3 linked regions of the Daphnia pulex genome follow. The protein of the gene in region 3 interacts with the protein of the main gene of each other region in a pairwise test. Links are inferred from orthologs where the notes say so. Each region holds a gene or a part of one and is shown on either strand. Other genes may lie near its edges. The genes, in order: ral guanine nucleotide dissociation stimulator-like 1, serine/threonine-protein kinase B-raf-like and GTPase HRas.

Region 1 (3,074 bases), on a different chromosome or scaffold from region 3:
GCCAGGAATTGTATGCTAGTTTCATCCTAATAGAACAAGAATTAACATTTAGGAATTCAAATTACTGGACGACTTTGGCGAATACCTGGATTAGTGTTCCTCGTTTGCTGGGATCTTCAGCGATGTTACGATAAGCCTGAACCGTGACTAGAGCAGTACTACTTATGTCTTCCATTCTGCCGTCATTAAATCCTGAGGAATAAAAACAAAAATTTGTATTGAATTCAACATCAAGCAATAAAATTCTATATTCTATGCTTTTATTTTCCAAATCTCGAGAAAATGAATCAGCATTAACGAAACTAACCTCATGTTTGTTGATCATAACAAGGGGTCCTTTCTCAAAATGGATCCTGTACAGGCCGAGGTAACTAGCCGCTAGATGGCTCAGCTGTCCTCATTACGTGTAAAAATATACTGTTAAGCGGAACTGTTTTATCCCACTGTTACCATACCAGTTTCCAAAACAACAATCATCACGTCATGCATCACGAAATTTTGAGGTCAGTGACACATTTCTGAAGTAAAAAAAAAATGGTATTAAAATAATTGGTCGTTGACCTATAAAAATGTAAAAGCCGAGTGCGTAGTAGATGGTAAATGATTTATTGACATCACTGTAGACGACGCGGGAAAATGAATAACAAAATCTCACAAGACACTTTGAAATCGAACACGGGGCTGATTTGCAGATAAACATAAATCAAAATTTGTCGAGTAACGTGTAAAAAAGATGCTTAGATTTCGTTGAAGATGCAAATTTGTAGCTGAAAATGGAAAACAAATCAACAGAAGAAGAAGAAAGGAGCCCAGGTTTTTGAAATTTCTTGGTCCAGATCATTGCGCAGATTCGCGGAAGAAACTGCTTCACTTTTGGTAGGTATTGCTCGCACAATTCAAGTCATAGATATATCAAACACGCACACAAGAGACAATTCCATCATTGCATAAATCATCAAGATATTTTGATTGCAACAACGCACACTATTTTGAAAGATTCATCGTTATCACATTATGAAAATAGAATGATGTATACCATGCATATGTAAAACAAAAGAAAATAATAAATTGGGGTCATAGGGAAGACGAATAGTAGAACCAATAAAAGAATGATCACTGCATGCCGCCATCATCATCATCATCAAAATAATAATAATATTAATATACAGTAGAGAATGAGATTTTGTCTTATTATTATTTTCTTCTTGTTCCATTCTACTACAAACCGAGAGAGAGAATTTTCTTTCGTGCTTTCAGCGTGTCCTTGGCGGACGAGTCTTTGTGGCATTCCCTCATGCGCAAGCGAGTGGGAGTGGAGCGACCGGAGGCGGAACCCGACGATCCAGGAGGAGTGTGGTGGTGGTGATGATGAGCCATCGATTCGCCTCTGGGCCGCAGGATGAAATTCAAATCGCAACTGGTATTAATGGCGTAGTACACGTTGGCGTTCGAAGGCAGCACCATTTCTATGTTTTCGGGAATTAAATAAAATGGAATGAAATCATTTCCGATCCATCCATCCATCTGCATTAGAGTGACACGTAAAAAGAACCTACCTCCTTTGGGTAGGAGCTGAGCCAGTGTATAATCCTCGGGATTACCCTCGAGACCGTGTTTGACCATGGCGTTGCGGATGACCTGAGGACTCCGTTCGTGATTGCTGACCATGATGGACTTGTAGAGGTTGATGCCCTCCGTCTCTTTGGATGGGGTGGCGATGGAGACGCGAATGACGTAGAAATCTGGCGTCCTCATGGGACTGACGCTGTAAGGGGGCGTCACTCCTCGGGGCAGGCTGCCAGCTTTGCTCGGCGTCGCGTTCTGAGATGACGAATGGGTCCCGACACTCAGGCCCGTCGTCCCGCCTCCGCCGCTGCTGCTGACGGACACGTCCAGCGAAGGCAGGGACGAGCTGCTCGATGAAGACGATAAATGCGTGTGAAACATTTTCTGCTCGAGAGAGGCCGAACTCTCGCCCAGCGAGAGGTTGGCGCTGTTGGCGCCGTCCAGTTCCGACAGGAATTGGCTGCTCGAGCTGCTCGACGTGCTGGCGATCGAATCATTTTTACGGTGGCCGTAACCGTTGGGTTTGCGTCGCGGGAACTTTTCGCTGTTGCGGGCCGAGCTGTGCCCGGAATTGCACGGCTCCAAGTTGCACGACAATTCGTAAGCTTCGCGATCGTCCAGCACCATCAGCGACTCGAACCAGCGCTCGAAACGTGAGTCGTTGGCGATTTGATAGGAATTGGCTGCTCCTTGAAACAATTTGATTTGGGCTAGGACCTCGAATTCCTTTCTCCTTTTGTCGAAATTGATTAAACCGTCGGCTGTCGTATCCGGAATGGCCGTGTCCACCATCGTCAAGTCCGTCAAGAACGTTCCCAAATACGGAATGGTCCCATGGCTTATAAGCTGTTGTTTTTTAGAAAGAATAAAGAAAAATAAACAAACGGGAATTTGTCACAAACAGAAGCAGGAAAAAAGAATAAAATCTAAAAATGTTTATGATTATTAAAATAAAATAAGAAAAAAAAGGAAAAACTGACGTTGGAGTGGCTGGCCTGTTTCTGGATGACCTTTAACATTTGTCGGTCATTCTCGCCGGCTGTTTCGGCAAACTTGGCCGTTCCTTCTTTCATGAGCAACTCTCTCTGAGCCGATTGATTATTTTCCTCGCTGAAAATTCTGGCCAGCTCCTCGTACACTTCCACTTTATCTCTCGGGACGTTTGCCCAAACGTGTTTGAGTCGGTAGATTGGATTCGATTGCAGCGCTGAAATGATGGCCTTCAGCGACGAGAAATTCTTTAAAACTCGTAATTCCTGTACGTGATCACATGTAAAAACAGCCAACACGTTATTATAATTTCATTCCAACAAACAAAACAAGACAGAAGCCAATGGCCCCCTTTTTATTAATTTCTATTAAATTAAAACCCTAGTTGTTTTATCGTCGTCACCTGTGCAACGTCAATCCACTTGGCTATGACGCGAGCCCTCTGCTGGGATCTCGGCTCGGTCGACCCGACCAGGATGGTACTGATGACGCGATAGGACACGGCGTTGAACTGCTCG
Region 2 (3,758 bases), on a different chromosome or scaffold from region 3:
ACCATGTGGTAGTTCTTTCTCAAGATTGCTCTTTGATTCATTGAAAGTTTATAGACAAATTTTAAAGATCATCAAACATAAATTAAAATACCCTACAATTAATTACAGGAGGACAGCAAATGACTACTCGAGAGACATCCCATCAGAAATGTTGCCCTACCACATTTCTAAACTGCACTTCAGATTCCTCTGCATCACCTGGCCGTCAGTCATTTATAAAGGTAGGAACGATGTTATTTCATTCAAGCTTTAGTCCGATTGTCATTTCCCCTCTGGATCCTGATTAGAACGTGTGTCGCATCTCTTGTTGGTTCGTCAATCATTCACGTCCAGTTGCAGGCCTGTTATCAGTTTGTCGAAAAGATAATTATTTGGTGACACATGGTTTTAATTGTAACGAAGCTCAAAGAGATACGCAGCGTGTTCATCTTTTTAAAAGGAAAGAACCGACAAAGACAAAGAGTGTAGAGTTGAATTTGAGGCATTTCATGTTTATTTGAATGGTTTATCGCAACGGTCGGGGGTATATATACAGCAGAGGAGAGGAAAGCATTACACAAGTGGACAGGAAAACCAGCTAGGATATTCACTTAAATGTTTTCTTTTCTTTTTGTTTCTCCGTTGGTACCTATTCTTTTTTTGTTGTTTTGTGTTCTTGAATTAGTCTTAATTTTTCGGTTTTTTGTTTTCGCCTATACATAACGTCAACGTGGAGGGATACAATTTTGTTTTGTGGTATTTCTTGCTTTGTCAGTCTTCTTTCCCCCCGAGTAGCAGGGATACCTCGCATGGTAGGCTGGACTTGAAATGTTCATATTTCGCACAAGACGACGAATTGTACGTGACGAAGGATTAGGGGTGAGGGGAGGGGGAGAACAAAAACATGGAACATACACATGCACGAAACCGAAGAATTTTGAGAAAGAGAGTTGAAGAATAGGGAGCATATATCGGGTGGAGGGAATAGTAGTAATTAGGATTTAATGAACAGCGCCGGGCGGAGGAACAGAGAAGTTTTTTTTTTAAAAAGGAAAAGAGTCTGAAGTGTGCGAGAAGTTTCACGGCTCTCGTCAACAGGTGAAGGATTTGGGGGCTAACGGACGACAGAAGGTACAATAGATATATCCGGTGTACGAGCAGAGTGGGGGGGACAGTCAATTTGTAGTCTACACAACACAACCAACGGTGCCAATAATATTGTGTACAGTACATTCCTATGCTAGGATCGGAGTTGTCTGAAGGTAGTGTCACGAACTCCTCTAAAAAAATAATATTGATTTAAAAGAAAAGAAAAAAACGGGATCGTCGACTATGGTATGTCTGTTTTTGTTTTGTTTTTATCAATTAAAGCTTAAGAAGGGAAACAATATTTTGAACTTGAGTATAGAGAAACGAAGAAGAGTGGGCAGGAGTGGCGTCGCAATGGCAGAATTCCTAAACGTAATTATCGATTAAAATTCCGGTTTCTCCAGTTTGTTGGTTTAGTTTCTTCTTTCCAGTTATTTTTTCCTTTTCAAATGACACCTCCCGTATTGAATAGAGGAAAGGCGCCGAATTGGGCGTTCATAGGAGTCTTGGGCAGGGCGTAGGCGAAGTAAATATCCTCTGATTGGAAATGACTTCCACTCAGTGTAGGTTCCGAAGCGGAGCGATGGATTTTGGGTAAGGAACGAGACAGACTTTCGAGGGAGACGAGTATCTGGCGAAAAAGAGGTCGTTCCTCTCGCGTAAACTTGATCGACGATTCCAGTAGCCTGCGAAGCGCTTTCGGTGTATCTGATCGAACGTGACTCAAATCAGGACGAAGGAATCCTCGGCCCACCATGAACAATATCTAGAAAATATTCGATTGAACTTTTAACACCACTTTTTTTCCTTTTTGAATTCCTAATTGAATTATACCTGATCTTTGTTGCTGATGTGCGAATAAGGTAGCTGGCCACTAAACAGTTCATAGAGGACAACACCGAAAGCGTACACATCTGACTGGAAACTGTACGGATTTTCATCCTTCATGCGTATCACTTCCGGCGCCATCCAAAGTATTGATCCTAACATAGAAACAAACGAATTGGATGTGTTTTCCTTAATTTTTGGTAAAAAGCAAGTACCCGAAGGTTGCTGAAACTGATGAGATCCTGACCAGCGTGTTTTGACCGTGGCAAGACCGAAATCTCCAATCTTGACAGTTAGGTCGTCGTGCAAGAATATATTGTTGCTTTTAAGATCGCGATGGATAATGTTCTTGGCGTGAAGATAACTAAAAATTGACGAGAAGAAGAATTCAATATTCACTCGTCTACATTGGTTAGCGACACAACTTACTCCATGCCCTGAGCTGTTTGACGCGCTGTTTCGATGAGTGTTAGAAGCTCGAACTTGGTCTCGAGAACGTGGAGATGTTTGTACAGGGATGAACCTTCACACCATTGCGTCACGATGGCTAATTGCGGCTTACTCACGCAACCCATAAAGAGTAAAATGTTGACATGTCTAACGGGAAAAATGGTTCCATTAAATGAATTGTGTTCATTAACGAGTATTAATTGCTTAGTACAACTGATGTGAACACTTGCCTGGTTTTCCGCAACACTGCCACTTCGTTTTTGAATGCCTGTAACTGAGCTGGTGTCGGATCTTTGACATTGAGGGTTTTGACAGCGACTGGGCCGTGCCAGTGTCCGCGATATACAGTTCCGAAGGAGCCAGAACCAATGCGCGGCCCAATGAGGATCTCGTCTGCGGGAATCTCCCAATCTTCGATCGATTCGCGAGACGCTCGCACCTGTTGATTTCAATATGATAAATCATCCACTTTTTGTTACTTTTCCACCTTTTGAGTTGTACCTTTTTGCTACTTTCGTCCGCGCTTCTTGCTCGTGGTCTCCATGGCCGTAAAGTATTGGTTGGGCTGGCCTGTGCACTGTGACTATGCGACGGTTTAGTCGGACTGCTACCCGGACTGGAAGCTCCGCCAAGACCACTCAGGGTGGGTGGGGCTCCTCCGTTGCCTCCGCTTCCGCCGCCTCCCATGAAATTTGTTACTATCAAGTTAAGAAGCGGATTATTAGTTTGAAACATCGACCCCATTTTTTGATCCAACGAATATTTTAAAAAGTTCAGTTAAATGACGACTGTCTGCCCTTTGAAATTTACCTCGGTGGAAGTAGCTGTTGTTGGCTGGTGGTGATTTAACAAAAGGCGCGAAGCATGCAAAAACGTGATAGTAAATTGCGTCAAATTAGCGGTTCAAATAAAATAACAATTAAAAAAAAACTCAAAAAAATTTGTAAATTAAAGGTAGAAGCAAATATGAATCGAAGTGCAGAAGGGGTGACGTAAAGGAGGAAATGAAGCAAGCAAGGTCGAAGCATTTTCATTGACGATCCAAAATCAGCAGAAAAGCGCAATTCAAGAATTGGGATTTTTGTTGTTTTACTAGGGCAACTAGAGTTGTTGATTATTAGTTCTTTTATGATTTTGGATCCAATACAAATTCATAAGACGGACAGAAAATAATCGCGAAAAACTGAGGTGAAAAAAAAAATGACTTGGGGGTTAGGTTACGCACAGGTGGGCAACGTAAGTCCGATAGCCAGGTTGGTGAACGGGAGAGCCCAGGCATGCCTCCCGGGAACATGCGCCTGTTGTTGTTGCTGTTGCGGCTCAGGGGGCTGATTCTCATGCTGCTCTTCCCGGATGCCATTCAAGCCTTTGTTGCTGTTGCTCCGGCCTCCGCCGTTTTGTACCAAACGTGT
Region 3 (3,442 bases):
CAACTCGTTTTCCTGTATCAGCTTATTGAAGATATGTGCACAAATAGTTTTCCTTTAAGTGTCGCGTATGCTTCCGGATTGCCTAATTTTGTCATAAAGCGAGCTCAAGAGGTTAGTTATGTTTTTTTAACAAGAAAATATGACCATTTTTATGTTTTTTCGTGAATATTTCTAGATGCTGAAAGCAGTTGACAGTGTTGGTAATATGACACCCAATAACCTAATATGGAATGATGCAAAATGCTCAACTTTACGCAGAATTTCAGAGTCTTTCTTCGCAACTGATCCTTGGAATGTTGACGATTTAAAGCAGTTTACAAGACGAAATATTCTTGGATGTTGGAGTTCCGTTCCGAATAACTAACAATTATTTTGTCATAAAATCTATAAGTGATTGCGTTACCAATTTTCATTTTTGAAGTGATACATGTGTAAACTGTAAACTATATGTTACCAAGAACAAGAACAAATTTCATCCTCAAAATGAACTAAAAATTCCATTAATGCTGCAAGAATTATTTAATATTAACTACTAAGCCAGAAACGATACACACCACTTTCAAATCTCAGCTTGACGATCATGAATGTGTATTCGCTATTACATGTCTATCGCAAGACCATTTAAAAATAATGTTCGAAAATGAAGTTTTCTGAAAACGTCCAAATTCAAGTCCGTGATATGCTTTCAATTGCAGTCCACGGCAAATAGGGCAGTAAGAATTGCTACATCATTAAGAAACCGTGATTGATAAAACTTGTGAACGTACCAAAATATTACAAACAGGTAAAACGACACAAGCCACACTTACGCACATACTACGCTGAAAGAATTGACAAATACATCTTATATTCGCGGTCTAATTACCATTACCCTTGTGAACAAAAAAATACATCCCCTCCCAAGCCATTCAATCAAAAGGCCTGTTCAGTACCATCTGCTTAGCTACGAGTAGAAAATTTTACTTGTAGAATATTTTCAAACATCCAATCCAATTGCATTCGGCCATAGAATATGGCGTATAGCTCGACAATCAGAAAACACAACTAGAAGTTGCGTGTAAATAAGTTTTTGAACCATGGTACTTTCCTAATCACACCGACGATTACAGAATATGACATTTCAAAGGACGGAGCTTGCCGCCTGGCTTTTTCTGTTTGTCTCGGCCTCGGCGTTCCTTCTAAAAACAAAAAAAAAAACAAAAAATAAAAAAAAAACACCACAACAATTATTATTCCATACATACTTCACTTGTTTTTAATCAAATGAACATGTTTTAAACATTATTCACAAATAATAATACTATTTAATAATAGTAGAAAGTAAAAACTTACATCTTTGCGTATCTCTCTTACTAAAGTGTAGAATGCATCATCTACACCCATGCGAGTCTTGGCAGATGTCTCAACAAAAGGTATTCCATAATTTTTTGCAGCTTCCCTTGCTGAGGCCATATCAACAGCACGAGTGGGTAAGTCACACTTGTTGCCAACCACTATTGACAATTAAAAAAACAAAAAAATAAAAAATAAATTGTGCCCACAGGTAATTCTGTTAAAATAAAAAAAAATGTGTACTTACAAACCATGGGAACTTCTTCAGCATCTTTCACTCTCTTGATTTGTTCCCTGTATGCACTGATGTCTTCAAATGACTTGGCATTATTAACAGCAAATACAAGCAAAAAGCCTTCTCCTGTTCTCATATACTGATCTCTCATGGCACTGCAAGACAAACATTACCAAATACTTAAATGATGTGTACATATTTTTTGGAATTGAAAATAGAATACCTGTATTCTTCTTGCCCAGCGGTATCAAGAATGTCCAATAAGCAGGTCTCTCCATCAATGACAACTTGTTTACGATATGAATCTTCTACAATTATAAAGATTAAAATAGCAGTTAATAAAATCCATTTATTGTGATACTCCAATATGAATTTACCTATTGTAGGATCATATTCATCAACAAAACTATTTTCAAAAATAGATAAATTAATTATTTCATGACTATTTTAAAACAATTAAAAACTTACTGGTTTTGGATGAGCTGAATAGTCAAAGCACTTTTGCCTACACCTCCAGCTAAAATAGATTTGGAATCAAGTTAATTTAAATATTTGAAAATATGATCTCTATTATTAAAGTATTACCACCAACGACGACAAGTTTGTACTCGGTCATATTTGTAAGAGATGAGCTCTGGCGAGCAAGAGAAGTCAAAATAAAAACAGTAGGCTAATGAGGTTGAAGGGAGTTGCCTACAACCACAGAAATATCTTGCTCTTGATTGTTCCGACACTGGTGATCACATTGATCATCCACATGAGCAGGCACACTGTAAACCAGATATTATTCACTTTTTCACGAATAACTGAGTAAGACAAAAGAAAACAAAAGAAATATTAAATCGGCGTCTTTGGGAGAAGAATAAAGGAAGCAAAATGAGTACGATAGGTTTAGCATTGGCATTGGGAACCATCTGCAACTGTGGTTCATGTATTCAAGCGAAGGCCGCAGAACAGGAAATGAAAATCATCCTTCGAAACGCTATTTGTAATACAACGCCATCTATAGGACAAAAGAAAAGTTTATATTTCCCTCTTGGTCACGGAGGTCACCAAGGGGGTCTGGGCACCACATAATTCCCTATTCCTACTCTGATTTTTACGCCAATAACTTCGAAACTATGGATCATGCGATTGGGACAGTTATTTGTGTGACGTGAAACTACTAATTGAAAAACAAAAATTAGAATTTTTAATTCGCGAGAACACGACGAACGAACGCGTTTTCCGGAAAAATGGGCGGAGCTACACACTCCCACACCCCACATTACAGGGTTCGCGGACTTTCACTGCTGACACCCAGCGAGCGCTGCGCCCCAAGCGGTCGGTTACATCAACAAAACGGCTATCTATTTCACTTCGAAAAAATGTCGCGTGTAGATGACGCTGTCTACAATGTTCCTGAGTTTCGCCGCGAAACGAAAAATATACGTTCACTTAAGACTCTGTTGTTCACATAGTTGGCACTCTTTTCTCTAGTGATATCTCCAGATATGAGTCCTCTCAGGCTCTCACTGTTAGTTTCAATACACGGGAACACGGCGCACGAACACTTTTTATAAAAAAAAGGGTGGAACTATACAGGGAGTGTTCACAAACTACATCAGGCTTCAAGGGGGGGGAGTTATTAACAAAAATTTCCCGTAGGGATTCTGTACAGGTTGTTTGGTATCGGTTGTACACACGGAGGGTTAGTTCGAAATTAATTAAACCAATACGTAGATGGCTTTTTTTTAAATAGTGGCTTTTTTATTTCGAATTTCACCAATAGATGGCGCTTTGGAATTTTGAACTGCGCGCGTAGAAAGTGGCATCGAGGCTCTAGCGACCAAAAGTAATAGTAAACTGGCATCTATCCCGGCCTATCGTCTCCGC

What was found.
Region 1: the proteins of GTPase HRas (region 3) and ral guanine nucleotide dissociation stimulator-like 1 interact in a two-hybrid assay, tested with the Drosophila melanogaster proteins (2 studies listed by BioGRID). The link is inferred for Daphnia pulex from reciprocal best matches to the Drosophila melanogaster genes Ras85D and Rgl.
Region 2: the proteins of GTPase HRas (region 3) and serine/threonine-protein kinase B-raf-like interact in a two-hybrid assay, tested with the Drosophila melanogaster proteins (2 studies listed by BioGRID). The link is inferred for Daphnia pulex from reciprocal best matches to the Drosophila melanogaster genes Ras85D and Raf.

Annotation. Positions count from the first base shown.
Region 1 is NC_060021.1:11,824,772-11,827,845, reverse strand, and holds the end of ral guanine nucleotide dissociation stimulator-like 1, read right to left. Parts: coding exon 2,960-3,074; intron 2,823-2,959; coding exon 2,547-2,822; intron 2,413-2,546; coding exon 1,557-2,412; intron 1,467-1,556; coding exon 1,219-1,466; 3' UTR 591-1,218; downstream 1-590. Other genes in the region: armadillo repeat-containing protein 1-like, read right to left, coding at 1-26, 86-175.
Region 2 is NC_060021.1:7,354,592-7,358,349, reverse strand, and holds the end of serine/threonine-protein kinase B-raf-like, read right to left. Parts: coding exon 3,572-3,758; intron 3,181-3,571; coding exon 3,157-3,180; intron 3,045-3,156; coding exon 2,848-3,044; intron 2,786-2,847; coding exon 2,577-2,785; intron 2,494-2,576; coding exon 2,326-2,493; intron 2,261-2,325; coding exon 2,112-2,260; intron 2,052-2,111; coding exon 1,903-2,051; intron 1,835-1,902; coding exon 1,514-1,834; 3' UTR 466-1,513; downstream 1-465.
Region 3 is NC_060019.1:5,053,427-5,056,868, reverse strand, and holds GTPase HRas, read right to left. Parts: upstream 2,525-3,442; 5' UTR 2,184-2,524; coding exon 2,153-2,183; intron 2,085-2,152; coding exon 2,036-2,084; intron 1,974-2,035; coding exon 1,945-1,973; intron 1,876-1,944; coding exon 1,791-1,875; intron 1,723-1,790; coding exon 1,580-1,722; intron 1,494-1,579; coding exon 1,333-1,493; intron 1,179-1,332; coding exon 1,104-1,178; 3' UTR 567-1,103; downstream 1-566. Other genes in the region: mutS protein homolog 5-like, read left to right, coding at 1-111, 176-364. UniProt on the Drosophila melanogaster protein: Ras proteins bind GDP/GTP and possess intrinsic GTPase activity. Plays a role in eye development by regulating cell growth, survival of postmitotic ommatidial cells and differentiation of photoreceptor cells.